7 linked regions of the Neurospora crassa OR74A genome follow. Each later gene encodes a partner of the first gene's protein in a complex. Links are inferred from orthologs where the notes say so. Each region holds a gene or a part of one and is shown in the gene's direction. Other genes may lie near its edges. The genes, in order: NCU02757, NCU08299, NCU02804, NCU06749, NCU06469, NCU00952 and NCU04068.

Region 1 (4,352 bases):
CTGCAGGGTTGGGGTTGAGTTAGTACAAACATAGCATGGCTGTGGACAACCAATTGCATGATTGAACGACAATGCCAACTGTGCAGTAAAACTTACAAGATTCGGCATTCTCGCCTAAACCTATGCTGGCACAGAAATTGATGTGAAATGTGTCTACTGACGGGGAGGTCAGCTAGCTATTTGGATGTTTCGTTTTTGGCGAAGTTCGAGGTGGAGAGACTGGTTCTTATTGAAAGACCGATCCCTGTCACGGAGGGAGGGTTGACGCGAACGACGAGCGAACGACGAGGGAATTGTGAACACGGACAGTCAATGAGACTAGACGCACCGACTACAGAGCCCAAAGATGTCGGGAAGAATGAACACCGGCGGTCGGCAGTGATGTCGCTGTCGGCACGTTGTTGAAGCCGGAGATCAACCCTGGGTCCCGCAACAGAAGGTTGGCTGAGACCGTGAAGGATGTGCTGTTGTTGATCGGGAATGTTGCCCAATTGGTGACGACGGTCGGGGCAAAGCACGCAATGGCGACGTCCGGAAAGATTGACTGATCGAGGCCAAGGGTTGCCGTCGTGATGGCAAGGCCTTGCGAGTCCAGGTGATGCGGAGTGGGAATGCTAGTTGGCGGACGGGAAAGGGAGGTATGATGTTTACGAGGCAGAGAAGAATGGGAGTCTTGTTTTTGCGAGGTCTTGGTGGAGGTGCCAGTGCCAGTGCAGCCCAGTGGATGGGGCTGGAGTGCCAGTGGACGGAGCGGGCGTGTGGACACCCACCCAGGTACCGGATCGGACGTGCTGGGACTGGGGCAAAGTACCTCTAGTGCCCTTCGAGGTCACTAGTGCAGCGAGGCTTTGAAGCTTTGAAGTCCAAGACACCGGAAAGGGAACAAAATTACCACAACAAGTGATGACGCGCCGTGCAATATGGGCTTCTGTCAGACGCACGTCTTGCTGTTCCCTGCCTTGCTAAGTTGTCGAATGATGAGGATGCCGTTGTCGAATAAGCAAGTCGAAAAGGTTGTACTGCCGAAGAAATGCAGGCTTCAATGGCCGGAGTCGAAAGTTGCTGTTGTTGCTGTAGCTGAAAGTCGATTGTCGTGCGTCCAGGGAAATGGTTGTTAGTCGGATGGTGAGTGTCGAGTTGCAGAATCCGGAGTCGAGAAAGCGGCCAGGAAATTGTACTTGGGCCGGGCGCTGTTATGGAGCACTGCAAGCAGAAGGGACAAAGAAGGGTCGCACCTCAAACACGCAGTGAAGGAACTGAAGGCGGCAAGGCCACCACAGGCCACGTCCCTCCCTTGCTGTCATCCGCCCGCCGTCAGGGCAACACTGGCAACCGCAGGGCAATTCGGTCAAATCAGCTTCTGATTGGTTTAAACTGTCCAACAGGCTGCGCGTGTCCAGCAGCTGTCAACACTAAGGTACCTTACCTATCCTGGGTCAGACGCGACTGGAACCTTGGGCGGGCAGGAATGGAGCACGATGCACGCTCTTTCCCCGCGCCGCACTGCACCTTCACGCGGTGATGACTTGGTGCCTTCCTCCCGCGCCCGCGTTTTGGAGCGCTGTTTGCAGCACTTGTCCCCTGGAAAGAAACAAGGCTCTTCACCAAAGGGCAGTGGCTGCACCACACAAGCCACACTATTAGCAGCCACAATCGTCAGGGATCGCAAACCAATGCACGGCTGTGATTGGCGCATCAGCCGAGCAATTTTCCACAAGCAGTTATCGACGACAAGCCGGCGACGAGAACCTCGACGAGCAGCCTGCGAGGACGTCGCATTCCGGTTGCTGGAAATCGCAGCAACTGTCCCCTCCAGCACCCTCACCTCCCCAGAGCTCACCGCCAGGAGCTTGGGATATCCGACAGCGATCGAGCAGCCATGCTGCAGCCTCAATTCCGACCCCTCCTTGCGGGGACAGCTTCCTTTGCCCAAACCGTGCTGGGCCGCACCGTCGCCAGATGCTATGCCACCAAGGCCGCCACACAATCAGCAAGCAGCACCAGCACCAGCAACACCAGCAAAGATGCCAAAGCCAAGATCGTCACTCCCTACGTCCGGGACGCCGGCATGATGAGAACCTACAAGCCGCACACGCCCGGTATCCGTCACTTGAAGCGCCCGATCAACGACCACCTGTGGAAGGGCCGGCCGTATCTTCCTCTTACCTTTCCCAAGAAGGGTCAATCTAAGGGTGGCCGTAATCACAGTGGTCGCGTCACCGTCAGACATCGCGGTGGTGGTCACAAGCGAAGAATCCGCATGGTCGACTTTGAACGATGGATCCCCGGTCCGCACACAGTCCTGCGCATTGAGTACGATCCCGGTCGCAGCGCGCACATTGCGCTGGTGAAGGAAGAGGCCACAGGGAGGAAGAGCTATATTGTTGCGGCGGATGGTATGAGGGCTGGAGACGTTGTGCAGAGCTACCGGTCCGGTCTTCCCCAGGACCTGCTCGATTCTATGGGTGGTGTCGTTGATCCTGGTATTCTGGCTGCGAGGACATGCTGGAGAGGCAACTGCTTGCCTGTGTCCATGATTCCGGTTGGAACCCAGATCTATTGCGTTGGCTCCCGTCCGGATGGCAAGGCTGTTTTCTGCCGCAGTGCCGGAACATATGCAACCATTATTTCCAAAGAGGAGGAGACCCGTGAGGATGGTACAAAGGTTATGACGGGCAAGTTCGTCAACGTAAGACTGCAGAGCGGAGAAATCAGAAGGGTCAGCAAGGACGCTTGCGCCACCGTTGGTATTGCCAGCAACATTATGCATCACTACAGACAACTGGGCAAGGCCGGTAGAAGCCGTTGGCTCAACATTAGGCCTACTGTGAGAGGTTTGGCGATGAACGCAAGTGAGTAGACTCCCAGAACAATCCGTTTGTCAAGCGAGCAAAACCAACTAACGGCCTGGTAGATGACCATCCTCACGGTGGTGGTCGTGGTAAGTCGAAGGGTAATAGGCACCCTGTTTCTCCTTGGGGTACACCTGTAAGTCATGCCCCTTTATTTCCTTCCTTCCTCTGAACAGACGCCTTACCCTCTTTTTCTGTAGGCCAAAGGTGGTTACAAGACTCGCAGAAAGTCCAACGTCAACAAGTGGGTGGTTACCCCCCGGGTCCGCAACATGGGAGTCCGGAGGAACAAGAAGACTACATGAATAAAATAACCCACTGTGCTCAACTTGGGCTATATACCCACCATCTTGTACAATATGTAGTGAAACTTATTCATTTGCTCGCAGGCCGGCAGTTCGAGGGCTCAGTATATCACCGGAAGGATGCCATGTGTGGGTATTGGGCCCAATAACATCGTCTGTTGGAGATCTGCCGTGTTTGTCTTTGTTTTCCACTTTCAACTGAGCAACTCTACGGCGATGTGGTTCAGGGCCCGGCCAAGGCCGTGACTGTGCCTATAAATCGGCATACGACTTCAGGAATGTACCAAAGACTACACATGGGGTTTGTTAGACTCCGTTGTCATATACCGACCCCAACTTAACAAATTTTTTATTGATTTATTTACTTATAAAATTTGTTTAATTTTCCTAAAAAAATTAAAAAATTTTTTTTTCCCTTTTTTTTTTTTTTTTTTTTTTTTTTTTTTTTTTTTTTTTTTTTTTTTTTGCGTTGATTATAGACAACAGACTACAATGAAAGAAACTGAAGGCGTTTGGTCATTGGAGTCGGTCGAGTTGTCCAATCACATTTTGCGTTCATCTCTTCTGCAAGGAGCAGAATAACAATGCCGTCCCCCTTCGCCCTTTCAGATCTGCTACCGGTTCTGTGAACGCCATCCTGAAAAAAAAAAAAAAATAGGGGCGTAAATAGCCGCGTGGGTAGACCTGAGCGCAGCGAGATTTATATGCATTCCAGCGGTGGTATCTTTACAGTGGTTGACTGTGTAAGGGCATATCACGACAGCGTCTCGGTATGCGCCCGCAATTCGGCCATACATACAACGCCATGAAGGAACGAGGGTCGACAAAAGGCAAGCATAGTCTCATCTCCATAGAGGTATACCACAAGATCAACGGGGGTGATGAGTACACTATTTGAAGCGTCTCTTCGGTGGTTTGGGCAGAGTTTAAGGTTTACGCCATTCTTTTAGTGTACATACTATTTCACAACGTTTCGCTCGTTCAGGGCAGTCCCCTTTGTACTTCTGGAGATTGAATGGGATCGATGGAATCGGTAGTTGTACATTAACTAGTAAGGAAAACTGAGTGCGCCACCATGTCTGGTACCTCACGACCCCGACAGGTCGGCACAATAAATATATACCTAGGTACCTAGGGTACATCGTACTTCTCTGCGGTGCTTCTCACCCTACACTAAATGAGTTAAGATGCACTA
Region 2 (4,589 bases), on another chromosome or scaffold:
TGGGCTCTTCTCTGTGAGTTCACTAGTATTCGCCAATAGTACGAAACGGTAAGAATAGAGGTAGTTTCCTCTATAATCCATTACAGAACTGATCCACATCAAAGTTAGCTTTATTCACGACGTAGCCAGGCTCTGGAGCACCAACGCAAGACGGCCAGCGGAGGGTAACCGACGTTGAATGTATTCCGAATATTGCATTACTACCACCAACCGGCCGGCCTCAACCAAGCCAAGATGTCCTGTTATTCCATCAAGCCTTTGGAAGCCATGTACTGTATGACCAAACGGCCGGGGTGGCAGGGCCTATGCCCAAATTTACTTTTTCTCCTGTGTCGTCCCGTTCTCCTTTTGCGCCCGCTCATACTCGATAATCTGTCTGCTCCAGCTAGTGGAGGTAATATCGGTTGCGTCAGCTTAAGAACATCCCCGCGGTCTGCGCTCGCGGAAAACGTTACGCATGTATAAAAATTTGGATGGGGGTCTGTCTGCCAGGACATACTATCTGCTGGGATAAAAGCGACCAGGCTCGGGCATCTTGTGACGGTACTCTTTCTCGGCGCTAAGCTTCCAGACTGCGGCAGTGATGAGGAAGACGACGCCACCGAGAACAGCCGTGTTCTTCTTCCAGTTGGCCGGCTGGGCGTACCAACCACCCGAAGGCGACCAGACGTGTTTGGGGTAGCTGGAGTGAAGGGCGAGGCAACGATTAGGACGGATCCATGACACAACGCAGGCTGGGTTGGACAGAATGCGCGGAGGGTTTGCGCATGTCGAGGGCGATGAAACTCACGGAACTTGGGGACCGCCGCCCTATAGACAGGAAAAATAGAGAGTTAGCAGACACAAAACATAGTAGTGATGATGGCTATTCTAAGCAATCGGGTGGATACGCACCATTGTGATGAAGTTTTGGGATATGTGGTGAGGTAGGTTGGACGTTCAACGAGGAATGATTCTTTCCACCTCGCAGTTAAGCAAGATCGGTTTGTACTGTCAACTTTGCGATGCACTGCGAACGACGGCACAATAGTGGTGATGCTTCAGCGGGAACAATTGGATAGAAGGACGAATGATGAATCCGCCTACAGGCTGACGAGGGGCTAAATCGCATCAACCATCCAGGCCTGAAAGTCACCATGTCACTCGTCCTAACTGGGGCCGAGGGCGCATGCGACAGACGGGCGGCGGGCGGCGGGCGGGCAGCTCCCGCTTGTCCACCACAGTGCACCGTATGCTAAACAGACAGCGCAGATAGTGGATTGGGGTCGAAGATGGATCTTGTGGGGACCCTCACTGGGCCAACAACGAATCATGTCAGCCGGCTTTTATGTCTCGGTCTTGGGGGAGTAACCCCTGCGCTTGAGCACTGATTCACGGCTCTGGGTGGTGGGCTTGTCTAGTGTACGGGTGGTGAGCGTTCAGATTGGAGAACTTTTTTTTTCTACCCGTGTTCGACGGCCGGCCGAGTCTGAACGAGAACCCATCCGATCAACGCGCGACTCCGACCGGGATCCCGAGTAGCTTCCCACCCCGCGACCACCGGCTCACCACCTGCCCGTCCGATTTCCCTCACTCCATCCTTTTCTTGGCAGGGCCTCCAGACGGCGCACACTTACGGAACCTGGGCCCCAGCACGTCAACACCCGGTTGTCGAGCCGACCATCACCCATCAAATATATCGCCCATGAAGAGGATAGCAACGCCCAGCTTGACGAGCCGGCTGCTCGTCGCCGCTCGCTCCGGAGTGTCGCCCGCCACTGCCGCCATCCGATCCCGATCTGCAATCTCGGTGCGATCGCAATCGACAGCTGCCCTCGCTCAGCACGATGCATCCCACGATCTCAACAATGATCGGTTCCCCCCGCTTGAGCCCCTCCCCCCCGCGGCCGAGTCCCTACCGTCGCCCCTCCCCGAACGGGCCTTGACCTCGGCCAAACTGGCCGCCCTCCACGCCCGTTTGAATCTTTCTCCCAAGATCCCCTTACAGACATTGGCAAGGACACTGGTCGACGCCTCGGCCGACGAGAACCCGCAGTTCAACAACGCCAACCTCGCCTTCGTTGGCCAGACCCTCATCAACTACCATATTGCCGAATGGCTCCTCTGCAAATACCCCCGTCTACCCCAGGGAATTCTCTTCAGTGCCATGAAGGCTTATGCCGGACCGAAGCCCTTGCTCCAGATTGCGCGGTCATGGGGTGTTGATACCGCCGCGGTGCCCGGCGGCGAGGTGGATCCCGGTCTTCTGCAGTTCGATGCCCTTAAGCCCGGCGTCGCCATCACAAATTTCGGCTACAAGCGTACAGAGCTCGCCTACCTCGAGAAGTTCAAGTGGCGTCGCGGTATGGCCTCGCGTGTCGTTCTCGACGACGACTTTGGTGATGTCGTGCGCAGCGACCCCAAGGTTGCCGCCGATCTGGAGAAGGCGATGGAAGAGCAGGATCAGGACAAGACTCCCGACGAGGAGGAGGCCGAGATGGTCGCTAATGAGCAGGACCAGGACGTGAGCTACGACCGCTACGGCAACCCCGACACCCGGGCCGCTGCTGAGCGGGCCCACGCCTACTTTGTGCGCGCCGTCGTCGGTGCCATCTACGCCCACTGCGGCCGCGAGGCCGCCAAGGCCTTTGTCAAGGCGCACATCATGTCGCGCACCCTCGACATTGCCAAGCTCTTCGAATTCAAGTACCCCACCCGCGAGCTCGCCGCGCTCTGCGCCCGTGAGGATTTCGAGCCCCCCGTGGCTCGTCTCCTCTCCGAGACGGGTCGCCAGTCGCGCACCCCCGTTTTTGTTGTCGGTATATACAGCGGCAGCGACAAGCTCGGCGAGGGCGCCGCCTCCTCTCTCGACCACGCCCGCTTCAAGGCCGCCATGAACGCCCTGAAGGCTTGGTATCTCTACAGCCCTGGCGAGAACCCTCGGGTACCCAGTGATATGCTGGAGGAGGGTGCCAAGCCCTGGACGCCAGCATACATTGATATGGGTGAGGTTATCTCCCGCTAAATGAGGAGGCTGAAACACGGAGCATGGCGGCGGACAGTACGGCAGGGCAGTAGAGAACTTAGGAAGTGTATGAAACGAAAGGTAAAAAGAGAGTCGCAGATGGCCTGCTTACACTCTCGGTTTTATTGGTTGTGCGGCCCATCAACTCGGGATAGGTTCCCCTTGTGGAAATCGACGCAAGAGGATCGAGAGGGAAACAAAACAACGAGTGGATTTTGTTGGTGTGGTCTAAAAGCTCAGCTTACCTTTCCACTCTTGTCCTGTCCTGTTGAGAGCGGGCAATTTCCGTCCTGCGAAGGAAGGGGATATTAAATGGATGGTCCTCTCCCATCCAGTCACTCCCTTTCCTTCCATTGTTTCTTGCTCTTTTTGCCAAAGACGAGATGTTGTATACAGATTTGCGCGCAACGGACATACATGTACACACACGCACACCCCCGCCACATATACCAATACAAAGGGGGGTTGGGACGGAACGGGGAATGAAGAGGGTCTGGATGGTGGCTGCTTGGCTCTGCTTTCGACAAAGAGAGACACAACCCTCGTCGGGGTGGCATCTGTGTCCTTCTTTCTCAGTGTATAATACCAAAAAAGTAGCCGAGGCCAGGGAGAAGGAAGATCATCGTCTGTATGTGTAGCATTAAGAAGTCAAATTTTTTACGAGGCATCAACGAAGTACATGACATGATAAATCCTTCCTCTACGTATTGACTGCTCTGGCATGAGGAGAAGGCTGTGTAAGAGAGAATATGGTACTACGCAATTTACACGCATTGTACAATTCCAGGATGTGTAAGCCCTTGTTTTGTATAACAAGCATCGTAAAGGAAGAAATGGGAATACGCAACCGGCAAGAGTAAAAGACCGGACGACGAGATCGAGCCTGGAAGTTCCTCCCAAGCTTGCGCGCCTTCCATTCATCCAAACTAGAGGTTGTTTAGTATCTATTTTGCCTTGTGCTTTCTTCACATTGCTCTTGTTTATCTTATACGTGAGAGGAAGATGAAGTTGGTGAGAGGGGAGATGAAATGTGGACTGTTCTCTCTGTAGTTGCGTCCTCACTTTCTCACCCCCTCCTGGTACTTTGTCACGACGTTTCCAAAAACACGTTCATCAGAACTTGCGACCTGATGCAAAGGGATCAATGAAGGAGACTTTGACAACTATAGAATTGGCATATTGTTAAGGTACAGTGGTCTAAGATAATAGGGTGCACCAAGGAGAACATGGAGTGCGCGTAGGTTTTCTCCTACTGGTTAAAAAAACACACATTAAGTTTCTGTTACTCATCTCTTAATCTCTTCGGCATTGTCTATCCTCTTCATCCTCATTTTGGGGTATAACCATCCGTCATCTCATTCATCGTCATCCATCTCATGAGTCATAACCCATTCCTACCATCTCCATCACCAAAGAGTAACCCACAGAGAATCACTCGCCTCCCAAATCAACAAAAAGAAGAGACACAACGCGCTCGCTCAGCTCAACTGAAGTGATCACCCTCGCCCAACTTACCGTCGATCCCTAGCCTAACCTTCCTCCTCTGCCTCTCCTCCGCCATCCTCTTCTCCCTCTCCAGTCTACT
Region 3 (3,359 bases), about 5.6 Mb from region 1:
TTGTGGATTCTCCGCATCGTCTGTATCTGGCTTTTCGTTGGTTACCGGCATGGCATCCAAGATCTTGGTAAGCGGCTCCTCGAAACCTTGGTCAATCATACGATCGGCTTCATCCATGATTGTGTAGCAGCACTGAGAGAAGACGAGCAAACGTCTTTCAAGGCAGTCCACGAGACGACCAGGTGTGGCGACAATAATCTCGGCACCGTTCCGTAGAGCAAACGCCTGCTCTTCGAGCGAGTGACCACCCACAATACTGACGACTGTAAATCCGAGAGGTGTAGCAAACTTCTTGGCCTCGCTCTCAATCTGTTGCACCAGTTCTCTTGTTGGCGCCAGAATCAGGGCATATGGACCGTCGTTCTTGTTGTACTCGGTCAGGGGTGGTAGTTCGGAGATGTAAACCAGCAGAGGCAGCAAGAAAGCTGCAGTTTTACCGGAACCCGTCACGGCCACACCGATCAAGTCGCGTGCTTGAAGGGCAATGGGAATGGCAGCTCTCTGAATCGGCGTCGGCTCGTCGTAACCCACGTTCTTGACAATGTCGAGCAGACGCCTAGGCAGCGTGGACTCTTCCCAACTGCGCATAGGGTTGGGAATGGCACCGCCCTTGGTGGCAATGCCAAAGTTTTCCTTGAAGATACGCCAATCGCGCTCCTTCATGTCCTCCAGCTTCTTCTCGGACCAGTGCTTGCCCAGGTTCTTGCGCTGTTCCATCTCCTTGATCCGTCTGTGTTGTTCCAGGTATTGCCTGGCGCGCTCCTCGCCCGTCTCGGGATCGCCACGACGGATGGCTTCGGCCTTCCGCATCACCATCTCTTCCGTCATCTCGTAACCACCAAGTCGGACCAGAGGCTCTTGACGCTCTGCGTAGATGGGGTCGAAGGGTCGGCTAGTGTCGTCATCGGCATCCCAGTCAAAGTTGAACTTGTTCGCTGCCGTCCTCCTCCTCTTCTTCTTGGCCGAGAATGTGGACTGATTTACTACTGGACCCATGTAGCGGGCGCGCAGCTCTGCCTCGTCGTTCCTCTCCATCTTGGCTCGCTTCTCTTCGTCATCGTTGGGTGCGCCGCGTTTTGCGCCCCGTTGGTTTCTGTCTCGGTTATCTCTGTTGTCGCGATTGTCTCTGTAGTCCCGACCGTTGCTCATGCCGTTGGGTCCCCGGTCATCGTCGTACCGCATCGCCTTGGGTCCGGTTGGGATGTTTCGTTGAGGGTTGTGGTTGTGATGACTCTGGATACCGTCCATGCGGTTGCCGTTATGATTTGTTCCATTTGGTTGAGGCTTGGCTTCTTCCTTGCGCTTGCGTTCCTCTTCTTCCTTTGCCTTTTTCTCGGCTTCTAGCCTCTCTCGTTCCTTTTTGGGGATGAATCTTGGTTTCGCGGCGGCGGCTTCTTCCTCCTTCTTCTTGCGCAGCAGTGCTGCCAGGTCTGGGGGTTCCCGTCTTGATGTCGTGCTCATCGTGGTAGTGTATGGAGTTGGTGATGAATCGAAGGAAGAGACTGGTCGGAGGCGACAGTGTTGACAATAAACGTGTTGATTTCCAAGCAGTGCTGGGTTCCGGAATGGGGTTGTTGTTATGGCGAACTTGGGTGGTTCTGGGGTGCAGCAGCGGTGCAGCACAGTTCTCGACCCGCCCAAAAGTTATGTCACGGTTCAAGGTCGGTGATCCCTGTCGTGCCTGTTCAAGGGTCTCCACATGCCCCGCCTTACGCGGGGGGTTAAAGAGGTCGGGTTAGGGCTCAAAGTGTAACTTCCGGCTGTCGCTATGTACCGTTTCGCGACCTGGAACTTTTTCGCAGTTGGGGTCCCGTCGGCGGCCGATTGATCGCAAAGTTCCCCGTTCCGGTTCGTTCGAGCAATCCGGACCCTGTCACCTACGACAAAAACAAACAAACAAACAACCCCCCCCCCCACCTCGACCGACACAGTACCGCCAGCAGGCCGGTCGATCGACATCTTCACCATGGCGGCCACGGTGAAGCAGCACGTCCAGCTGGCGCTTTCGCTCCCACCGCGGTTGCGCACCTTCTTGGCCCGGTACCCGCCGGCCTCGATCCTGCCCGCCGGCGCCGACCCCGAGACGCACAAGACGCCCTACCAGGAGGAGAGCCCGAACCCGTTCATGCCCACCAAGCACCCAATCACCGGAAAGTGGCACAACCCCAAGTACTCGCTCAGGCGACAGGCCGAGCTCGTCAAGCTGGCCCAGGAACACGGCGTCGAGGAGCTGCTGCCCTTCACCCGCAAGCTCAACGAGGAGAAGCTACGGAAGAGAGTCGAGCTCGGTCTCCGTGTCAAGGGTACCGGTGTTGGAGAGAAGGTCAAGGGTCACAAGCACGAAAGGACACTGGTTGCCAAGTACGTTGTCGATCCTCGGCTGCTGCTGCTGCTGCTGCTGCTGGTTGGGAGGAAGTGGTGGTTTGCTGACGGTGGATTTCGCACACAGGATGGAGAAGAGGAGAGAGGCCATGCTGGCTATGCCCGACCTTATCCGGGAATGGAAAAAGGTAAGGATTGCGCCCAAACTCTTGCGGTTTGCACTCTTGTTAACCATGGGCTTCGCTACAGGTCGGCAAGAGGAACTGGACCAAGTTCCCCAAATAAGCGATCGGTTGTTGTCGCTTGTCGGGAAGATTACAACGAGAGTCACTGCCATGTCCATAGACTGTATCATCACCAACAATGTACAACAAATTTCAAGCCATTTGGAAGGGGATTGCCATCAATGTGGTTCTGTTTCCCGGTTGTTGACTGAACGTCCTCTGGCGTCTTATAAGACGGAGTTCCCCACTGTGGTTGGAGGCCGAGACGAGGTAATGTGTCTAACGGTGCAGTAAAATTTCCCCCCCGAATTTGTTTCTCTGAACAACTCACTTCACGATACCAGGCACACAACTAAGACTCAAACCACCACGTGAGAACCGACACATCACACATCCTCTTTTTTTTGCCTATTCACATTTCCTACTGTATACAGCAACATAACAAGGGCAGCGAGCGCAAAGAGACACGTGATTGCGGGATACAAACTTTTCTCTCGAAAGCTGCTCGACGCAAACCACCAACCTTTCACCACTTACACGTCGATACATTTCAACACCAAACCGGTCTCACAACCATACCATTTTATACCCGGGGCCGCACTACCAAACACCACATTGAACACCAAACCGCAAAACCACCAACACATCCAAGATGTCCCAACCAACCTTCTACGAAATCCTCTCCCTCTCACCCACCACCTCCGACCTCACCCCCGCCTCGATCAAACAAGCCTACCGCCGCGCCCTCCTCACCCACCACCCCGACAAGTCTTCCTCTAACTTCTCCTCCTCTACCTCCAACAGCCACTCCAA
Region 4 (3,876 bases), on another chromosome or scaffold:
CAGGTCTCATCCCGATCCTGATTGCTCGAGTTCATCATGTTCTCCTCAGCAAAGAGCTCATCGTAGGCATGATCCTTCTGCCACTTCTTCTCGGCCCGCTCCTTCTTCAGGCGATCCTCCTCCTTCTTCCGCGCCAGCACCGCCGCCTGATCCTTCTTGCGCAGCTCTTTGAGATGCTGCTCCTTCTCCTCTCGCAGGTCCGGGTGCTTCTCAACCTTGGTCTTGTTCAGACGGTTGACGATAGCATTTTCGCGCTGCGCGATCAAAATGCGCTTCACCTTCTTCTGATCCTTGAAGCTGACCTGGCCGACCGCCATGCTGCCGTCCTTCTTGAGATTGGCCCATGGGGTATAGATGATTGTGATGTTGTCCTTCTTGTTACCTTTACAAAAGCACAGAGTTAGTCCTCACGAATTCCCCCATGACTTCCTGACAGTAGAATTCAAAAGCAGCAACTTACCCTCGATGGAGTTGGCCTTGGTCAACTGACCAAGGTCGGTCAGGAGCTCCTCGGGAATGTTCTCCCATGTCCAACCCTCTGGGAGACGGAGGTAGATATGAGCACTGGAAAGTTTGTCGACATGGAACTAAGTAGGGCCTAGTAATGAGAAACAGAGCATAATATGACGAGAACCTCATGGGGAGTCATACCCTACGAAGAATAGTTAGAAAATGCCGAACTAGGCTTGGCCGGGGTGAAACTTACCATACATCCTCCTCCCAGCCGTGTTGGATCAACTCCTCGTCTATAAAATAGCATGTTAGATGAGTGACGAGCTGACATCTATATCCAAGTCAAATATGCAATGTCCATGAGTGTGTCAAGATATATGCATATTCCACAAGGAGATGCAGAATACCACCAATTGTGGCTGATGATCATCTTCACGTACTCTCAAACTTGTCTTTCCCCACATAAATGAAAGCCGGGGGACTGACGACGGTCGAAGTGAAATAGAAGACCATGGTTGCTGATGCCTTTGGAAGAAATGAAAGATGGGAATATTGGGTATCTCAAAACGGCGACAATGAAAAAGACACTTCGTGCAAGAAGGGAAACCAAGATGCAAAAACGCGATTTCTTCTCTGGGGCTGTGTGGTGGTGGTTCGAGTGAAGATGTTTTAGCGGTTGAGTTTGGGGGATCCAATGCGGTAAAATGCGCCCGCACTCCAGCGGAAGTAAAACTACCTAAGTGAATAGAAAGAAGCAATTAACCCTAACCCTTCTTGTAGAGATGTCACACTCTGTACACCACAATCCGCCAAATACATAGTACCCGCCTGTGAATAGCCGCCCCTCCCCTGTCAATTGTGAATCCCCGGATGCCGAACCGATCGACGTTATCGGGGGGGGAGCATCCCGTTACTGAATTTCTGAGTGGCTATCAAATTTCTGCTGCTCCGTGCTTCGAGCCGGCGACCACCACTCCCGCACCCGCCCCAAAACCACCTCAACGGCCGCGCGCCGAAACGACCTCCCAACTCCGCCCCCTCCGGTTCGCGTCTCGAAGACAGCCGGTGTCCTTTCCATTCCCCCCACTCGACGCTCCGGGGCCCCGACATCGATACAACGAACACCGTCAGGTCCAATTGACTGCGACCAACCCCACCAAAAGCAACACAACACCACCCAACCCTCCCCTCAGACTTATACACATACACGATGGCGCCCCGGCTGCCCGCGCGCTGCTGGAGGCAGCTCTCCCTCGTCGAGAGGTCAGCCACCCACACCACAACCACCGCCGCCGCCAGCTCCCTCCTCCTCGCCGGCCGGACCACACCCACCTTCTCCGCCTCCTCGCCATCGACTGTCTTTCCCTCCCTCCTCCCTCAGATCACAAAGCGCGGCGTCAAGTACGGCTGGAGCACGCTCCCGAAGCGCAGCAGGCCCACACGATTCAACCAAGTGACGCAGGGTCTTCCGGCGCCCACCTCGGGCCCGGCCGCTGCCCTCAAGCGCCGCGAGAAGACTACACCCCTGCGCACCGGCGTGCTCGCTGTCAAGAAGGGCATGACCGTCTTCATGGGCCGCACCGGCGCCCGCATCCCCTGCACCGTTCTGCAGCTCGACCGGGTCCAAGTCGTCGCCAACAAGACGCGCGCCAAGAACGGCTACTGGGCCGTCCAGGTTGGCCTGGGCGAGCGCCGCGCCGAAAACGTGGGCGCCCCGCAGCTCGGCTACTACGAGGCCAAGGGCATCCCGCCCAAGCAGACGCTCGCCGAGTTCAAGGTGCGCAACCAGGACGGCTTGTTGCCGGTCGGCGTCCAGCTGTTTCCGGACTGGTTCCACGTCGGCCAGGTGGTGGACGTGCGCGGCATCACGCGCGGTATGGGTTTTGCCGGTGGTATGAAGCGTCACGGCTTCGCCGGTCAGGAGGCGTCGCACGGTAACTCGCTGAACCACCGTACCATTGGTTCCGTCGGTGGTTCGCAGGGCTCCGGTTCGCGTGTGTTGCCCGGCAAGAAGATGCCCGGTCGCATGGGCGCGCAGCAGCACACGGTCCAGAACCTGCCCATTCTGATGGTGGACAACGAGCTCGGCATCGTGGTGGTCAAGGGCGCGGTCGCTGGTCACAAGGGTGCGGTTGTCAAGGTTCAGGATGCTGTCAAGAAGGCTCCTCCCCCGGAGGAGTTTGTCGAGGCCACCAAGCAGCTCCTCAACGAGCGGTTCCCTGATGCGGAGGAGAAGTTGCAGGCGGCGAGGAAGTTGCACTTGGAGCTCAAGGAGGCGAGGAGACAGGGCCTGATAGATTCGCTCATCAAGAATGGGCTGACAGAGAAGGCGGATGGAAATGCTGCGGTAGAAGCTTCGGCTTAAGAGAGGGGGGCTGTCTCTGGTCTGTAGTATGTGTTTGTACTAGGTTTATGGAAGGGAATGTATGGTAAAGCCTTCCCGGTTTCTCATTTTTTTTAGTTCTCTCTTGTATGATACACACGCATCGTGGGGTGTTAAAATGTACAGCTACCGAAAATGTATAACAACTTGAACATACAACCCTTGCCCGTGATAGGTTCGTATGTTCTCTCCCTATATCTTACACATATTCCTCCTTGACAGCCTTCGGGTATTCAATCAGAGAGCCAGACCACGATCCTGTCCTTCAGCTCATCCTGTTTGAGAGGGGGAGAGGGGGACCACCACCTTCCCCGGTTCCCATATATATCCTCCCTTTTTTCAAAACTATTCCCTCCTTAAGAGCACCCCAAAACAATTACTTGGGCATCTGCCTGAAACCCCTGACCTTCGCATCCTCTGCATCATCATCCAGCTCAGGTTCCATCGCACGGCCGTTGATAGCTCTGAACGGATCGCCCTCCTCCAGCAGGTCAATGACCTTGCCGTCCTCCGTCTCCAGACTCCACTCGGTCGTCTCGAACATGCCTCGGGGCGTGGGCCGGAAGCTGGCGAAGCGCATCACGCCCGTGCGCTTGGTGCCCTTGACATTGAACTTGATGTCGATGCGGCCGTGCAGCTGGTTCATCTCGCCCGAGATCCACGGAATCTGCGCCTTGAAGTAGATCTCGTCACCCAGGTACTCGCGCGCGCGCTGGTTCGTGCGCAGCGCATAGAGGGTTGACTCGACCACGGGGGAAGAGAGTTTCTGGTAGTTGAAGATTGCGATCGAGGTGGCGGCTACGATGCCCAAGAAGATGGGGAAGGTGCGGGACCAGCGGAAGCGGGAGGTTTGGACATCTGTTTTTGTGGTTGCAAAGGGAAGAGGGGTCAGTAACTTCCATGGTACTAAGGAACTCAATTGGGGTGCGGAAACAGCAGGAAATACAGAACACAGAGAAGAGAAGAAGAAGAAGAAGAGACACGGGGAGAACATACCAGGAAGTTCACGATCAGCTCGCCTCTCCATCAACGGACCATCG
Region 5 (3,716 bases), on another chromosome or scaffold:
AGGTGTAGTGTCACTAGTTGCTTCTGCTTGCCTAACTCGCGCGCAATCTCGTGGACTAGGGAGGTCTTGCCGGAACCGGACAGGCCGTGGAGGAGGATAGGCCCGGGTCGTTGCAGGCACCCGGTGAGGTTCTCGAGGTTCTCAACAGTCGTCGGGGTAAGTGCGAGGGTGGTGGGAGCAGTCACAGGGCCGAGGGGACGCGGGAGGACTGTCTTTCCATATTTGACAACTAGAGGAGTGAGGTTCTGTTCTGGGATGTTTGTGATATTCAATTCGACAACCGCATCGTCAACCGCACTAGTTTGTTGGGATTTACTGCGAGAGCTCTGAATGTCTTCACGTCTAGAATCCTCGTGTAGGCTGAGGAACGCATAGTCGGCTTCGCGCCCGTCGAGCTCTGCGACAAGGCTGGTATCTTTGGGTATGTGCTTTTCGAGGAGGGCTTCGATCTTGACATCGGCGGCATTATGAAGCTGGCAGAAGATTCGGACGGCAAGATATCGGACGATGGGGTTCTCGTGTGCGAACAGGGTCTGTATTTGGGATGGCTTTGACAGGCCGGCGTAGGTGCGCTTGTCAAAGTTGTTGAGCCTCCAGAGGGCTAGGAGGACAATTGGGAGGTCATCTGGGCGGATCGAAGCTAGGTCAAGGGAATCGAGAGGTTTAAGTTTTGAAGAAGCATCATTGTCGTTGCTTTTGTCGTTGTGGTTACCACCATTAACACCACCAAAAGATCCTCCTCGAAGATGCGACACGAGGAAGACGGACAGCGACGGGGCGAAGGGCAAGATCCTTGCGAAAGCGGCAAGGACTCGCGTATCGAGTTTTGGAGAAGACAGAATCCATCTGGCGCAAATATCGGCAAAAACAGACTCGAAATGGGTAAAGATGCGGTCGGTGGCTGTCGAGACAAGAGCGGCGCTGGCGATCGCATCGAGGAATTTGGTCGATTGGTGATCCTGGATTATGAGCAGCAACTCTGGCGGCAAGAGGTCCAAGGTGGTCGCATCGCTAAGGAGCGACGCCCTCTGCTGGCTCACATCGATCACGGCCATCATGGCCAGGGAAAAGCGACGGGACGGGTTGGCGTGGATGTCGTCGTCGTCGTCGTCGTCGTCGTTGTGAAAAACGGTGATGTTTTTCTTAGTCTCTTTTTTTTTTTTATCTCTAACTTTTTTGCCCATTGAACTTCGCTTTCTCCCGTTTGGAACTTTTTCCCACATGAAATTCCTTATCGCGCTGAACGATAGTGCGGGGTACATGCTACTTAGCGCTAGGCGCATGTGCTGGGGTGTACTGCATAGTACTCTACATAGTGTAGTGTAAGTCGGCTGCGGCAGGCAAGGGAGCCATCTTCTTCAAAAGTGGAACCTAGTTCCGGGTGGGACGAACAGCCCAGCGGCAGCAGGGGCGCGCTTGGGATGACAGGGGCCCATCCTTTAGCGCGTCTTCAGTGGACTTCAAGGTACAGAGGTACCTAATCCCCAGACTCGCGCGGGGCAGGCAGCTTGGGTTTTCCCCTCCAGCTGCAGCTCCGGGTCAGCCAGCCGTCATAGATCCAACTTGCACGCCCAAACCACCAAGCTGCCAACTGCCAGTAGTGGGTCCCAGATTTCGCAGCACCCGGGAGCGCGCGACAACGTCCCCAAAAAAATATCTCCGTTTAGTTGTTGTACGGTTCGGTTGTACGATCCTCGAAGTCGACGTCGACGGCAAGCCTCCCTCACCAAAAAAAGAGAACCCCAATCCGACCGCCCCCGCGCGCCCTCTCTCTTTCCTTCCTCCGGTCCGAGTCCGACTCCCCTCTCTCCATCCATCCATCCACACAACCCACCACCACCAACACACACACATACCAACAATGTCTCTCTCGGTTCGCTTCGCCGCGCAATGCGCCGCCCGCCAGCTCCGCGCATCCACCCGGGCCTCGAGCTCCCTCCTCGTCCAGAAGCGCTTCGAGTCCACCGCCGCCCCTGCCGCCAACCCCAAGATCGCCGCCATTGTTGACCAGATCAGCACCCTGACTCTCCTCGAGACCTCGGAGCTTGTGTCCAGCCTCAAGGTACGCCCGATTTAAATAAAGCACGAGAAGAAGAACAACCGGGGCCGGGAACCGGGACACACAAAACCCGAATCGGAGCATGTTTCAAGGTTTCCGGATGTTTTTGCGCCCCGGACCCGACCCGACCCGACCCGGCCCGGCCCCGGACAGACAGACAGACAGACAGACCTATCTTATACTACCTAGACTCTCAAGTCGCACACATGTACATGGGCACCAACACTAACACTCACTCTCTCTCTCTCTCTCTTCTTTTACACAAAACAGTCCCGCCTCAACATCCCCGATCTCCCCGTCGGTGGTTTCGCCGCTGCCGCCCCCGCCGCTGCCCCCGCCGCCGCTCCCGCTGAGGAGGAGGAGGCCGCCCCTGCCGCTGCCGAGAAGACGCTGTTCACGCTCAAGCTCGAGAAGTTCGACGCCGCCGCCAAGCCCAAGGTCATCAAGGAGGTCAAGAACCTGCTCGGCCTCTCCCTAGTAGAGTCCAAGAAGTTCGTCGAGAGCGCGCCCAAGGTCATGAAGGAGTCGGTACCAAAGGAGGATGCCGAGAAGATTGTCGCCGCCATGAAGGAGCTCGGCGCCACCGTCACCATGGACTAAACTGCTGCTTCTGCCTAGTAAAAGGGTTGGTTGCTATGGTTATGGTCTCTGTGTGGTGGTGTGGTGGGTGGAGGCGCCGTGTGTGTGTGTGTGTATGTGTGTTGTTGTTTTGTAGGATGGTCACGTCCCTCCCCCGCAGAAAAAGAACCAAACGAGGAGATCTTTTCCTGACACAGATGCCGGAAAGATATTTTCTTTTTTTTTTCCTATAATGATGATCATGACGGGACAGAGTTGGAAGAAATGCCAGGGCCTTGGGAAACACATAAAGGGGGATTCTCGGTCTCATCTACATTATATCCTCATGGGGAAAGGGGGGGAGTGGCGGACACAGATTCCTCACAACAACATATACCACTTGTACGTGTACAAAAAGCAATGAAACATGTAACATTATATCATACTACGAGAACTGGGATGGATAGAAGAACGGGTTGTCAGCGAAAACATGAGAGTCTGTCGACGATATTACCGTGAGCAGATGCCGCTTCTGAGTTAATAGTATCTCCCCACTTTCGCTTATGGATACCGAAGATAACTAAACAGCCAAAAACATAAACGCCATCCCATGCATACCCCATGTATCGGTAACTTCCTTGTTTCTTATTCTCAACCTCCTTCTCCTTGCCTCCTTCAATTTTCTTCTTTCTATCGCACTCCTACCAGCGCGCCTCTTGTATCCACCACCCGTGTCATTCCTACTGGTCTTGAATTCCCAGGTTCTCTTCTCCTCCGTCGGTTTCCTAACCCGAAGTCATCTCCACATCTTTATCTTGCTTCTCCTGTTGCTCCTTTTCCAGCTGCTGCAGCTGCTTCCTCCTCGCCATCTCGGCAATCTCCCCACTAATCGACATTGGCTTTTCCTTCATGTTATTCCCATTCATACCATCATCCCTCTCACCCCCGTTACTGGTAGAGGTAGTATGCCCACACCCCGCACCACCACTCCCTCCAATCCCTCCAATCCCCGCCTGCAAACTCCTCTCCCACTCCTCCTGCTCTTCCCATATCGCCCTCATGTCGTCATCCCCCAACTCTGACGTCTCCTCCAGCAATC
Region 6 (3,617 bases), about 3.1 Mb from region 1:
CTGGTCCTCAAGTACCACGTATCGCTCTTCTGGCTCTGCAGCAGCGTGCTCACCAAGTCGCGCGAGCGTGAAAGAAGGGAGTCGATCCCCTCGTAGCTACGTTGCAGTTCCTTCAAAGCAGCGGTGCTTTCCGCAAGGGTTTGGGAGGCGAAGGCGGACTTGGCTACCTCGGAGGCGATCAGGGCGTGCGTGCGCCGCAAGGCGTCCGTGACGGTGGAGGAGGCGGAGACGACTTCGGAGTCGTGGGAAGGGGGTAGATTTGTTTGGTGCTGTTTGCGACGGCGGTTGCCGAAGAGGGCTTGGCGGGGGTCGAGAGGAGGAGCATCTGACGAAGCGGCGGCGGCGGGGGTTGAGAGAGGGGGTGGAGACGTCGTCGACGAGGTTGGTTGAGCACCACCGCTGGGGGCAGCAGCAGTAGATACGGGTGTTGAGGCGCCTGATCCGCGGTCTGATGCGGCGAGGTTGGCGGCGACGGCAACGTAGGAGGCTAAGAGGAGCTGGCGCTCGAGGCGCTGGGCGGTTTCAAGGTTGCGGCGCGCCGCGAGTTGGGCTTTGCGGAAGGAGGTTCGACAGCTGTATTTTTTTGAGACGCAATTTTGTTAGGTACGTTGTTTATCTTCATCTTCATCATCGTCATCACCATCCAGGCTGAAAAGATGAGAAACAAAACTCACCCCTTAAGCTCGGCAGCCAAGCGTTGCGCGCCCTCCTTTAACCTCGTCTTTTGATGTTCCGCCTCACTCCCTGGGCGGCCGGAGCGCAAGTCGATAATCTCCTCCTGCAGCAACTCCAAATCCTCCTCCTCCTCGCGCAAGACCTGGCTGATTTCGGCGCTCAAGTCAGCGGCCTCACTGTTGGTGGTTCCATCGGCGCCAGTGTTCGCGAGACTGCTGATGCTGTTGCTCAAAGGAACGGAACCGGGCTCGAATTTGAGCGTGGCGAGACGCTCGATGAGGTCCTTAAGCTGGCCGGTCGTCTCTTGGAGGGCCGTGAGCCGCTCTTGAAGCGTTTCGAATGTTGACATTAGTGACTTGTTGTATTATGTCGGTATTGCATTCGTAGGGAGTTGACTCGGTAAAGGTAGATAGATATGTGTTGGAAAAAGGTGGATGTGTAACAAATGGTTTCCATGGATCGTAGTCGGATCCCACTTAGGTACCTGGTGTTGATCAGCAGCTGTGCTGTTGTTGATAATTAGTGGAAACCTGGCCTGAAAGGAGAGCACTGTAGCGATGTTCAATGGAAGTTCTCGGTGGGCGTGGCTCTTGCAACGTCATCCTCAAGGTCAATGAAAACGGATCACATGCGGAATTCGGTAACGGAGTTCAAGTTACAACTCGCTGGGGCAAATGGGAGTACGTACTGTTGCGCTGAAGGAACAAAGCACAAACTTACACACTCAGGGCTACAGACTAACACAATGTAATAGAAGGCCAGAAGTGATTCTCTTCCCGTTCAGAAGATTAAAAAGATGTATTATGTCAATTGATCTGATGTAGTGTAAATATGAATGCAAAATCGAGCCTGACACCGTTTGATCCCAGTTGGCTCCCAACCAATCACAGCCCATCTCTCACACGTAGCACGCGCCGTCCCGCATTCTCCGTTTTACAAAAAACACCCCTCCCGGTCCCCGGCGCAATCGGTACGTACCTCCAGTAATTTTTGATCGCATCCCTCCTCCACGCTGCCGGCCGGCGCCAGGCACGAAGACCGAATCGAAGTCCAAATCGCGACACACAAGCTACGTACCCCGTCCGATCCTCCACAGAGACCCGTCTCCCGTCTCCCGCGTCTCCGTATCCGTCCCCGTCCGGTGTGCAGTGCAGTCCCGTCGTCGCAAATTCGCAAAGTCGCAGTCAGGCCTCCGCGTTCCTCCTGCTTCTTCTTCTTCTTCTTCTTCCTCCCCGAACCCAACCCCAACACGACCTCAGGTCACCACCACCACCACCCGAGAGACCTCGCCCAACATGCTCACCCGCTTCATCACCGACGTATCAACGCGCTTCAACCCTTTCTCGGCCAAGGCCAAGGCCGCCCGGCTCTTCCTCTCCTTCCTCCCTCCCAACGCCCGCTCCAATGGCATGAACATCACCACCCAGCTTCTGCCGCGGAATTCCACCGAGACTCCTTTGCTCTACGTCAAGTTCAGTACGTTTTCCCAATGTCTCTCTTCTTGTCACTTGCAACTCTGTCACACATCGACGGACCGCCGTTGCAGTTGGTTGTTGCAATTTGGATCATTCCGGCTGGAAGGCAATCAAGAGTCGTTAGCTGTGAATCAAGCCGTAGTCTAACGTATTTGAAAAAAAACAGAGGACGGCAAGGAAATGAACCTCGACGTTGAGAACATGGGCATCAAAAGCATTGTCGAGGAGGTGGATCGCCACTCTCGTATCCTTCAGAAGCAGGCCGACTTGAACGACGGTTAACCGAATCTCTGTCTTTCTTTTCTTCTTCAAAACCCAGCAATCTCGAGACGCCCTTGTTGTGTTTTGATCCACCAATCGAACTTTGCGGGTAAAACGAGGGAGACTGAGACTAGGAAAAAGGAGGGAAAAGCCACGGGAAGAGCGACGAAAGCCCATCTTGTCTTGATACCCAGACTACTTGGCTTTGGTCCGTGGTACCAAAATGACGATTGACCGGGAGGAGAAGAGGAAAAGTCTGGATATCTAAAGGCACATTCGAATCACCTGGGTAAAGCCAGCGAGCTTGGAGCCGGATACCTGACGACCTCTCTGAGAGATCTGTAAGATCGCCTTACCAGCCAAAAAGAAGAAAACAACAACAAAAGATATGAACCTGTATTTGTATTGGGCAAGAGGTTGTAAGTGTACACCAACAGCATTGGGAGGCGTTAAGGGGCCGGCGATTTTCAGTTGGCAAGGCAGTTTGGGTACCTGTTGTTATAGACATGCGTATATAGCACCTCTGCCATGGATTGATTCACACACATCACGGTACGCCCATTTTGACAAAGTCAAAGTTGAGATCGGCCTTTTTTTTTTTTTTTGTTTTTGTTTTGGCGACCGTGTTTCCTTCGATGGGGAATTCATCAACGGTATCGGTATATTTCAACGGCGAAACTCATGGCGCAAGAATGTCGAGCATCTCCTCGACAAGTCCCTATCCCACGGCATGGACTACAGCCTCAGAAATGGCCAATCTCTGACCGCGCATACCTTGTTGCAAAGACGTTCGACTCTACGCAAAACAACGCATGAGGGTAACACCATGGAGGATTGTTCACGACGAATTGACCAATACAACAAAGTGCCAATAAATTATCTTTATTCTACCTCAACAAACGAACTCTCTAAGCGGAAGCACCGCTGATGAAGAACCACTTGTCGATGGAGCTATCGATAGGGGCAGGGGGGAGATTCTCGTTGGGAGGGAGGGGAGGAAGCTGGTCAGGGGCAACACGGCTGCTGGAGTGCTGGACAGTGACGTTGGTGGTGGAGACACCGCCAGGGGCAGTCTTGCCGGTGATGAGACGCTCCCAGGCTTCGTTGCACTCACGGACGACGTCCATGGCGTACCTGTTGTTATTTGTTAGCCAATGTAGCAGTTGCGGTGACAAAGCGGTACAAAAAACTCACGTCTTGTTCTTG
Region 7 (4,675 bases), on another chromosome or scaffold:
TTGCTTCTGAAGCTGAGCTTCCACGCCTTCTGTAAGGTTCTTCATCACATTCGTGAGTCGTTGATAGAGGAGAATGTTTTGTGCTGTAAATCACTGTCAGCTACGACTCTGAAACGGTGCGTCTCAACCTAGATACCATACCTTTCTCATTATCCGCTCTGGCCGCCTCACAGAACCGCAAGGCCTTGTGCCGATAACTAATCCACGTATTCCACGCAGCATCTGACGACTTCATGGCTGACAGGCAGTGATCGATTTCATGACTGCTGACGTGGAGTTGTGCTTGGTCCCGGATCGCAATCTGACTCAGGGCCGGTTCACGGAACTTGGCACATTGCGCCGGGATATTGAACCTGCCTCGCTCCAAATCACATATCGCTAGACTGGCAGCGTAGGAATCAACAAAGTCGCGAACTTGCCGACCAGTGTCTGTGAGGATTGTGGCGTCGTTCTTTCCGTCTACCAGCTGGCAGTTGTTGACTAGGAGTCGGGCGGCCACACGATGGCAAAACGGTTCTGATTCGAGTTCTTGAAGTTCACTTAGGGCGACGGCGTAGATATTTGGTAGGCGTGAGGACGCTCGAAGCAGATCCGAAGGCTGGATGTTGCGGTCGATGTTGACTTGATGGTCGGCTGTGTTGCGGTCATATTATTAGTCAAGCCCTGCAGGCAGTGCTCTGATATTACTTACGAACTGCCACTTTTCTTTCACCTCCCCACGAAAAGGCCAGAGAAGGTGTAGCTGTAACGGCACAGAGAGCCGTGAAGAGAAGCTTCCTGGCCATAGTTGTCATGTAAGTGCAATGCGACAGGCTGATGATGATATACTGATAAAGTCAGATGCGTCCAGAAGAGTGCCGTCGAAGGGACTTCGGCAGTAAGAAATGGAGATTCTGGCAATATTGGTAGTGCAATTTTGGCGATCGAAGTTTGTGGCCATGCAACTGAAAATTCTGTGGTGTTTTTGAAGAGAAGGAGCGATTCAAGAGAGGGAAGGAAGGAAGGTGTATGAGGGTAAGTTGGCGATCGCGACTGCCCAGGATAAGAGAAGCGGACTTGAATTTAGCGGGACAAGAATCACAGGATTGTGAAACCGCGAAAAGGTTTCGTGTGAAATGACTTCACTTGAAGTTCGCATCGAATATGACTGTGATTGTCTGCCGAGCTCGACTTTTGCTGGTTCTTAATCGTCTGATGTGACGCTGTCCTCTCCAACAGAAGCGAGCCTAGACAAAGATTTGGGCTGTAGACCACTTGTCTTGACATCACTGGAATCTGCATCTTTTCATCCGGTATCGAGAAAGTGCAAACAGCTCGCTTGAGACAGTTTGGAAGACTTCGACCGTGACGGGTGTTCTGGGTGGTGATGACTATCGTGAGGTTGGCATCCGTAAAGTCGTCATCGGAAAGCTGGACGATTGTCGAACGGGAGATTAATTCAACATTCAATCTGAATATTGTGAAACAATATGTTCCATCGAGTAAACTCTACACTTCCACGCCCTGTGCCATTTTCTTTTTGAAGATTTCTTACTCGAGATGAATGATGTCGGATGGAATAACATCTGTTGGTGTTCGTCGTTGTTTCTTAGCCCAAGCGAATAGCAGCAGCGAGACTATGCGGATACGACCCTAACCCTGTTGTATTTACAGCCAATCACTAGCTGCATTGCTGTGCCGCGTCAGGTCCGATACATTTTTTGGAGCTCTCCGAAGATCCACTCGGTTCATCCCACCACCCGGCCGGCTTGCCATTGACTCGGTGCTGCCCTTGCGACTGCCAGAACCTCCGAACTGGAGCGCCGCGTCTCTTCGCCAATTCCGGTTCCGCATCGTGACGACGGCCACCACCCTGCCGACGACGACGACACTCACCACGATGTTCGCCCCAAGCCGAAGGAGGGTCCTTGAGGCCGTTGCCTCTTCCTCATCTTCTCCCGTCGTCACACTCCCCGGCTTCCTGGTGCCCGCCTTCCAACAGACTGCCGGTGCCGCCGCCCGGCGCAACTTTTCCGCGACGACAACCCGCCCGTCCAAGCTCGGCCGCACCCCGCTCAGTATCCCTCCTGGCGTCGAGATCACCATTGGCGAGCCCTTCGTCAAGCGCGACATGACGCAGTGGAAGCAGCAGCCTAAGCGCAAGATTACGGTGCAGGGCCCGTTGGGTTAGTTTGTTCTATTGTAAAATCGACTTGGCAAAAGGACCAGATGGGTGTTTTATTTGAGGATACGCAACGAAACTGGAGCGGGCGCAACAGATGGGCTGGGAGAGGCCCGAGAGAGAACGTTGTTTATGGGTGTTTGCGCGAGAGTGCAAAGGGGACTAGGATGGGAGCAGAGCAGCTGGCTGACTTGTTGCACGTGTGCGTGTGCTTTTTCACAGGACAACTCGAGATGGACATTCCCGACTTCATCAAGATCGACCACGACGCCGAGGCAAGGAGAGCGACCCTCAGCGTAGCGAACCGGGACGAGAAGGAGCAGAGAGAGATGTGGGGTATGGCAAACACCTTCCTTGTCTTGGAGAATGTGGAAAGTTACGGGCGGCCAGTCAGCTGACGATTTCGAATCTTTCTTGGACAAAACAGGAACAACATGGGCGTACCTCAACCGCTTCATTATGGGTGTATCAGAAGGTCACACGGCCGTGTTGCGTTTGGTCGGTATCGGTTACAGAGCTACAATCGACACCCGCCCCGAGAAGGAGGAATACCCCGGCCAGCAGTTCGTCTGCCTCAAGCTCGGTTTCTCCCACCCCGTCGAGATGGGCGTTCCCAAGGGCATGAAGGCCAGCACGCCGCAGCCGACAAGAATCCTGCTTGAGGGCATCAACAGAGAGCAGGTCATGACCTTCGCCGCTGATATCAGGAGGTGGCGTGTACCGGAACCCTACAAGGGTAAGGGTATCTTTGTCAACGGCGAGACCATCAAGTTGAAGCAGAAGAAGATCAAATAGAGGACGCGCGGTGGGTTTTGGTGGCTGATATGGTTGTTGATGAGGATAAGGGGGGAATATTGTACATTTAGTCTATTATTTTTTTTGGCACACACATGGCCTCATAACGGCCCGATACCTGCCATAACCTGTACACTATGACACCGAGGCTTTACTGCTGCCCGAGAACTTCCTGAACGACCTTGATGACCTGGTCGTGGACCGCAGCAGGCGCCGCAATGACACCCTTGTTTTCAGCCAACGTGCGGCCGACGCTGAAATCCAGGCGGTTTCCACTCACGTCGGTAACCTGACCACCAGCCTCACGCACAATCAGATCTCCAGCAGCGTGATCCCAGATCTTCTCCTGGTAAGACTTGGAAGTAGGCAGACGGAGGTAGATATCACCCGCGCCGCGAGCAATAGAGCCGTACTTGGCCTGGGAATCCATGCGCACACTAGGCTTGGTGATCCCGAGCTTCTGCGCAATCTGTCCAGCCACGCCCTGATCCGAGTGACCCGCCTCCACGCTCTCGCAGAAGCTGGCGTTGGACATCTCTGTAATAGGCTTCATCGCAATGGACTTGCCCTCCGCAAGACCGGCGGTGCCCAGGGGTCTGCTAGTCGCGCCTTGGCCCTGAACGGCCGAGAAGATGACACCCCGGCCCTCATCGGTCGCATTGGTGCCGATATCCGCAGCCAACGGCGCAGCGTCGTCCACAGGCAGGTTCGGGCAACCGAGAACACCGACCTTGACGTCACCGTCCACCATCAGTCCCAAGCACACGGCATACTGTCCACCGCGCAGGAAGCCCTTGGTGCCGTCGATGGGGTCGATAGTCCATATCCTGCCCTTGGCGCCGCCCTTGCTGTTGCCCTGGTCGATGATCTCCAGCATCGCGTCGGCATCCTTGATGGCGCCGCCAAGGAGTTGCTCGGCAGCCTCATCGTCAAGCTTGGTGGACTTGACGAGCTCCCAGATCTGGTCCCGCAGGGGGGTGTCCTCGCGCAGCTGAGCGGCCTCCTCCTCAGCCACAATCTCGTCCGAAGGAAAGTTGGCCTTGAGGGCGCTGATGATGAGCGCCTGAGCGCCAAAGTCGCCAATGGTCACAGGGGACTTGTCGTCCTTGGAAACGGTGCCCTTGGCCTTCTCGTGGAAGACGCGCTTGGTGAGGCGGGCGGCCCGCTGGACGGCGAGCTGAGCTACCTCGAGCTCCTTTGCGTACTGGGAAGAGGCCATCTTCTGTGTAGATGTAGTTGTAATGGTTGAGCGGCTGGTTGCTGTGATTGTGTTGGCACTGCCAGTCAAATGGCTCGCAATGAGGGAAAGCCGGGGAAAGGAGATGCGGGAACTGAAGATAGCCAGGATGAGGACGATGAGGGAGAAAACGAAGAGAATTTTGGAGTAGAAAGTATGGGACGATGCCTTTTTCTGCTGTTTGATCTTATCCACAGTCATACAGCCGCGAGAGGATCGATAAACCTCGGGGAATTTTCAATCCGTAACCGGAATACGTATTCAGTCCAAGTTGTTGAGTGGTTGAACTTGGGATTCTGGCTGTCAAATGTTCCCCGCACTGATTCTGTAGCGGCGAAGCTGTTGACGTATGACTGCCCTTTTTGTCTTTTTTCCCACTTCAATTGGTTCCCCGCAATGCCACCAACCGCTCGCTATCTCCACAAATGCAGACATGAGAGTCTCAAAATCTTTGTTTACTTTGATGAAATGCTTTACCTATT

The links.
Region 2: NCU02757 (region 1) and NCU08299 share a complex: the UniProt entries of both Saccharomyces cerevisiae proteins name them as parts of the mitochondrial large ribosomal subunit. The link is inferred for Neurospora crassa OR74A from reciprocal best matches to the Saccharomyces cerevisiae genes RML2 and MRPL3.
Region 3: NCU02757 (region 1) and NCU02804 share a complex: the UniProt entries of both Saccharomyces cerevisiae proteins name them as parts of the mitochondrial large ribosomal subunit. The link is inferred for Neurospora crassa OR74A from reciprocal best matches to the Saccharomyces cerevisiae genes RML2 and MRPL25.
Region 4: NCU02757 (region 1) and NCU06749 share a complex: the UniProt entries of both Saccharomyces cerevisiae proteins name them as parts of the mitochondrial large ribosomal subunit. The link is inferred for Neurospora crassa OR74A from reciprocal best matches to the Saccharomyces cerevisiae genes RML2 and MRPL9.
Region 5: NCU02757 (region 1) and NCU06469 share a complex: the UniProt entries of both Saccharomyces cerevisiae proteins name them as parts of the mitochondrial large ribosomal subunit. The link is inferred for Neurospora crassa OR74A from reciprocal best matches to the Saccharomyces cerevisiae genes RML2 and MNP1.
Region 6: NCU02757 (region 1) and NCU00952 share a complex: the UniProt entries of both Saccharomyces cerevisiae proteins name them as parts of the mitochondrial large ribosomal subunit. The link is inferred for Neurospora crassa OR74A from reciprocal best matches to the Saccharomyces cerevisiae genes RML2 and MRPL44.
Region 7: NCU02757 (region 1) and NCU04068 share a complex: the UniProt entries of both Saccharomyces cerevisiae proteins name them as parts of the mitochondrial large ribosomal subunit. The link is inferred for Neurospora crassa OR74A from reciprocal best matches to the Saccharomyces cerevisiae genes RML2 and MRPL6.

What each region holds. Positions count from the first base shown.
Region 1 is NC_026501.1:3,455,091-3,459,442, reverse strand, and holds NCU02757 (mitochondrial 54S ribosomal protein RML2), read left to right. Parts: upstream 1-1,495; 5' UTR 1,496-1,879; coding exon 1,880-2,852; intron 2,853-2,914; coding exon 2,915-2,988; intron 2,989-3,052; coding exon 3,053-3,157; 3' UTR 3,158-3,526; downstream 3,527-4,352. Other genes in the region: NCU02758 (G2/mitotic-specific cyclin-B), read right to left, coding at 97-108. UniProt on the Saccharomyces cerevisiae protein: Component of the mitochondrial ribosome (mitoribosome), a dedicated translation machinery responsible for the synthesis of mitochondrial genome-encoded proteins, including at least some of the essential transmembrane subunits of the mitochondrial respiratory chain.
Region 2 is NC_026504.1:2,488,210-2,492,798, forward strand, and holds NCU08299 (mitochondrial 54S ribosomal protein YmL3), read left to right. Parts: upstream 1-1,394; 5' UTR 1,395-1,684; coding exon 1,685-3,004; 3' UTR 3,005-3,783; downstream 3,784-4,589. Other genes in the region: NCU08300 (uncharacterized protein), read right to left, coding at 316-385, 500-682, 791-810, 895-897; NCU08298 (cytosolic phospholipase A2 zeta), read right to left, coding at 4,488-4,589. UniProt on the Saccharomyces cerevisiae protein: Component of the mitochondrial ribosome (mitoribosome), a dedicated translation machinery responsible for the synthesis of mitochondrial genome-encoded proteins, including at least some of the essential transmembrane subunits of the mitochondrial respiratory chain.
Region 3 is NC_026501.1:9,064,398-9,067,756, reverse strand, and holds NCU02804 (mitochondrial 60S ribosomal protein L25), read left to right. Parts: upstream 1-1,774; 5' UTR 1,775-1,966; coding exon 1,967-2,361; intron 2,362-2,449; coding exon 2,450-2,510; intron 2,511-2,571; coding exon 2,572-2,607; 3' UTR 2,608-2,780; downstream 2,781-3,359. Other genes in the region: NCU02803 (pre-mRNA-splicing ATP-dependent RNA helicase prp-28), read right to left, coding at 1-1,461; NCU02805 (diphthamide biosynthesis protein 4), read left to right, coding at 3,199-3,359. UniProt on the Saccharomyces cerevisiae protein: Component of the mitochondrial ribosome (mitoribosome), a dedicated translation machinery responsible for the synthesis of mitochondrial genome-encoded proteins, including at least some of the essential transmembrane subunits of the mitochondrial respiratory chain.
Region 4 is NC_026502.1:2,066,144-2,070,019, forward strand, and holds NCU06749 (mitochondrial 54S ribosomal protein YmL9), read left to right. Parts: upstream 1-1,320; 5' UTR 1,321-1,663; coding exon 1,664-2,818; 3' UTR 2,819-3,028; downstream 3,029-3,876. Other genes in the region: NCU06750 (coiled-coil domain-containing protein 25), read right to left, coding at 1-382, 461-564, 707-746, 894-966; NCU06748 (hypothetical protein), read right to left, coding at 3,213-3,694, 3,833-3,876. UniProt on the Saccharomyces cerevisiae protein: Component of the mitochondrial ribosome (mitoribosome), a dedicated translation machinery responsible for the synthesis of mitochondrial genome-encoded proteins, including at least some of the essential transmembrane subunits of the mitochondrial respiratory chain.
Region 5 is NC_026503.1:1,524,501-1,528,216, forward strand, and holds NCU06469 (putative mitochondrial 54S ribosomal protein MNP1), read left to right. Parts: upstream 1-1,643; 5' UTR 1,644-1,861; coding exon 1,862-2,062; intron 2,063-2,329; coding exon 2,330-2,659; 3' UTR 2,660-3,193; downstream 3,194-3,716. Other genes in the region: NCU06468 (midasin), read right to left, coding at 1-1,058; NCU06470 (hypothetical protein), read right to left, coding at 3,403-3,716. UniProt on the Saccharomyces cerevisiae protein: Component of the mitochondrial ribosome (mitoribosome), a dedicated translation machinery responsible for the synthesis of mitochondrial genome-encoded proteins, including at least some of the essential transmembrane subunits of the mitochondrial respiratory chain.
Region 6 is NC_026501.1:6,595,028-6,598,644, forward strand, and holds NCU00952 (mitochondrial 54S ribosomal protein YmL44), read left to right. Parts: upstream 1-1,676; 5' UTR 1,677-1,970; coding exon 1,971-2,151; intron 2,152-2,316; coding exon 2,317-2,432; 3' UTR 2,433-2,998; downstream 2,999-3,617. Other genes in the region: NCU00953 (hypothetical protein), read right to left, coding at 1-573, 675-1,024; NCU00951 (inorganic pyrophosphatase), read right to left, coding at 3,320-3,545, 3,606-3,617. UniProt on the Saccharomyces cerevisiae protein: Component of the mitochondrial ribosome (mitoribosome), a dedicated translation machinery responsible for the synthesis of mitochondrial genome-encoded proteins, including at least some of the essential transmembrane subunits of the mitochondrial respiratory chain.
Region 7 is NC_026506.1:2,634,202-2,638,876, forward strand, and holds NCU04068 (mitochondrial 54S ribosomal protein YmL16), read left to right. Parts: upstream 1-1,694; 5' UTR 1,695-1,879; coding exon 1,880-2,165; intron 2,166-2,383; coding exon 2,384-2,497; intron 2,498-2,588; coding exon 2,589-2,956; 3' UTR 2,957-3,107; coding exon of another isoform or gene 3,108-4,394; 3' UTR 4,395-4,501; downstream 4,502-4,675. Other genes in the region: NCU04067 (hypothetical protein), read right to left, coding at 1-83, 142-633, 692-785; NCU04069 (3'-phosphoadenosine 5'-phosphatase), read right to left, coding at 3,108-4,394. UniProt on the Saccharomyces cerevisiae protein: Component of the mitochondrial ribosome (mitoribosome), a dedicated translation machinery responsible for the synthesis of mitochondrial genome-encoded proteins, including at least some of the essential transmembrane subunits of the mitochondrial respiratory chain.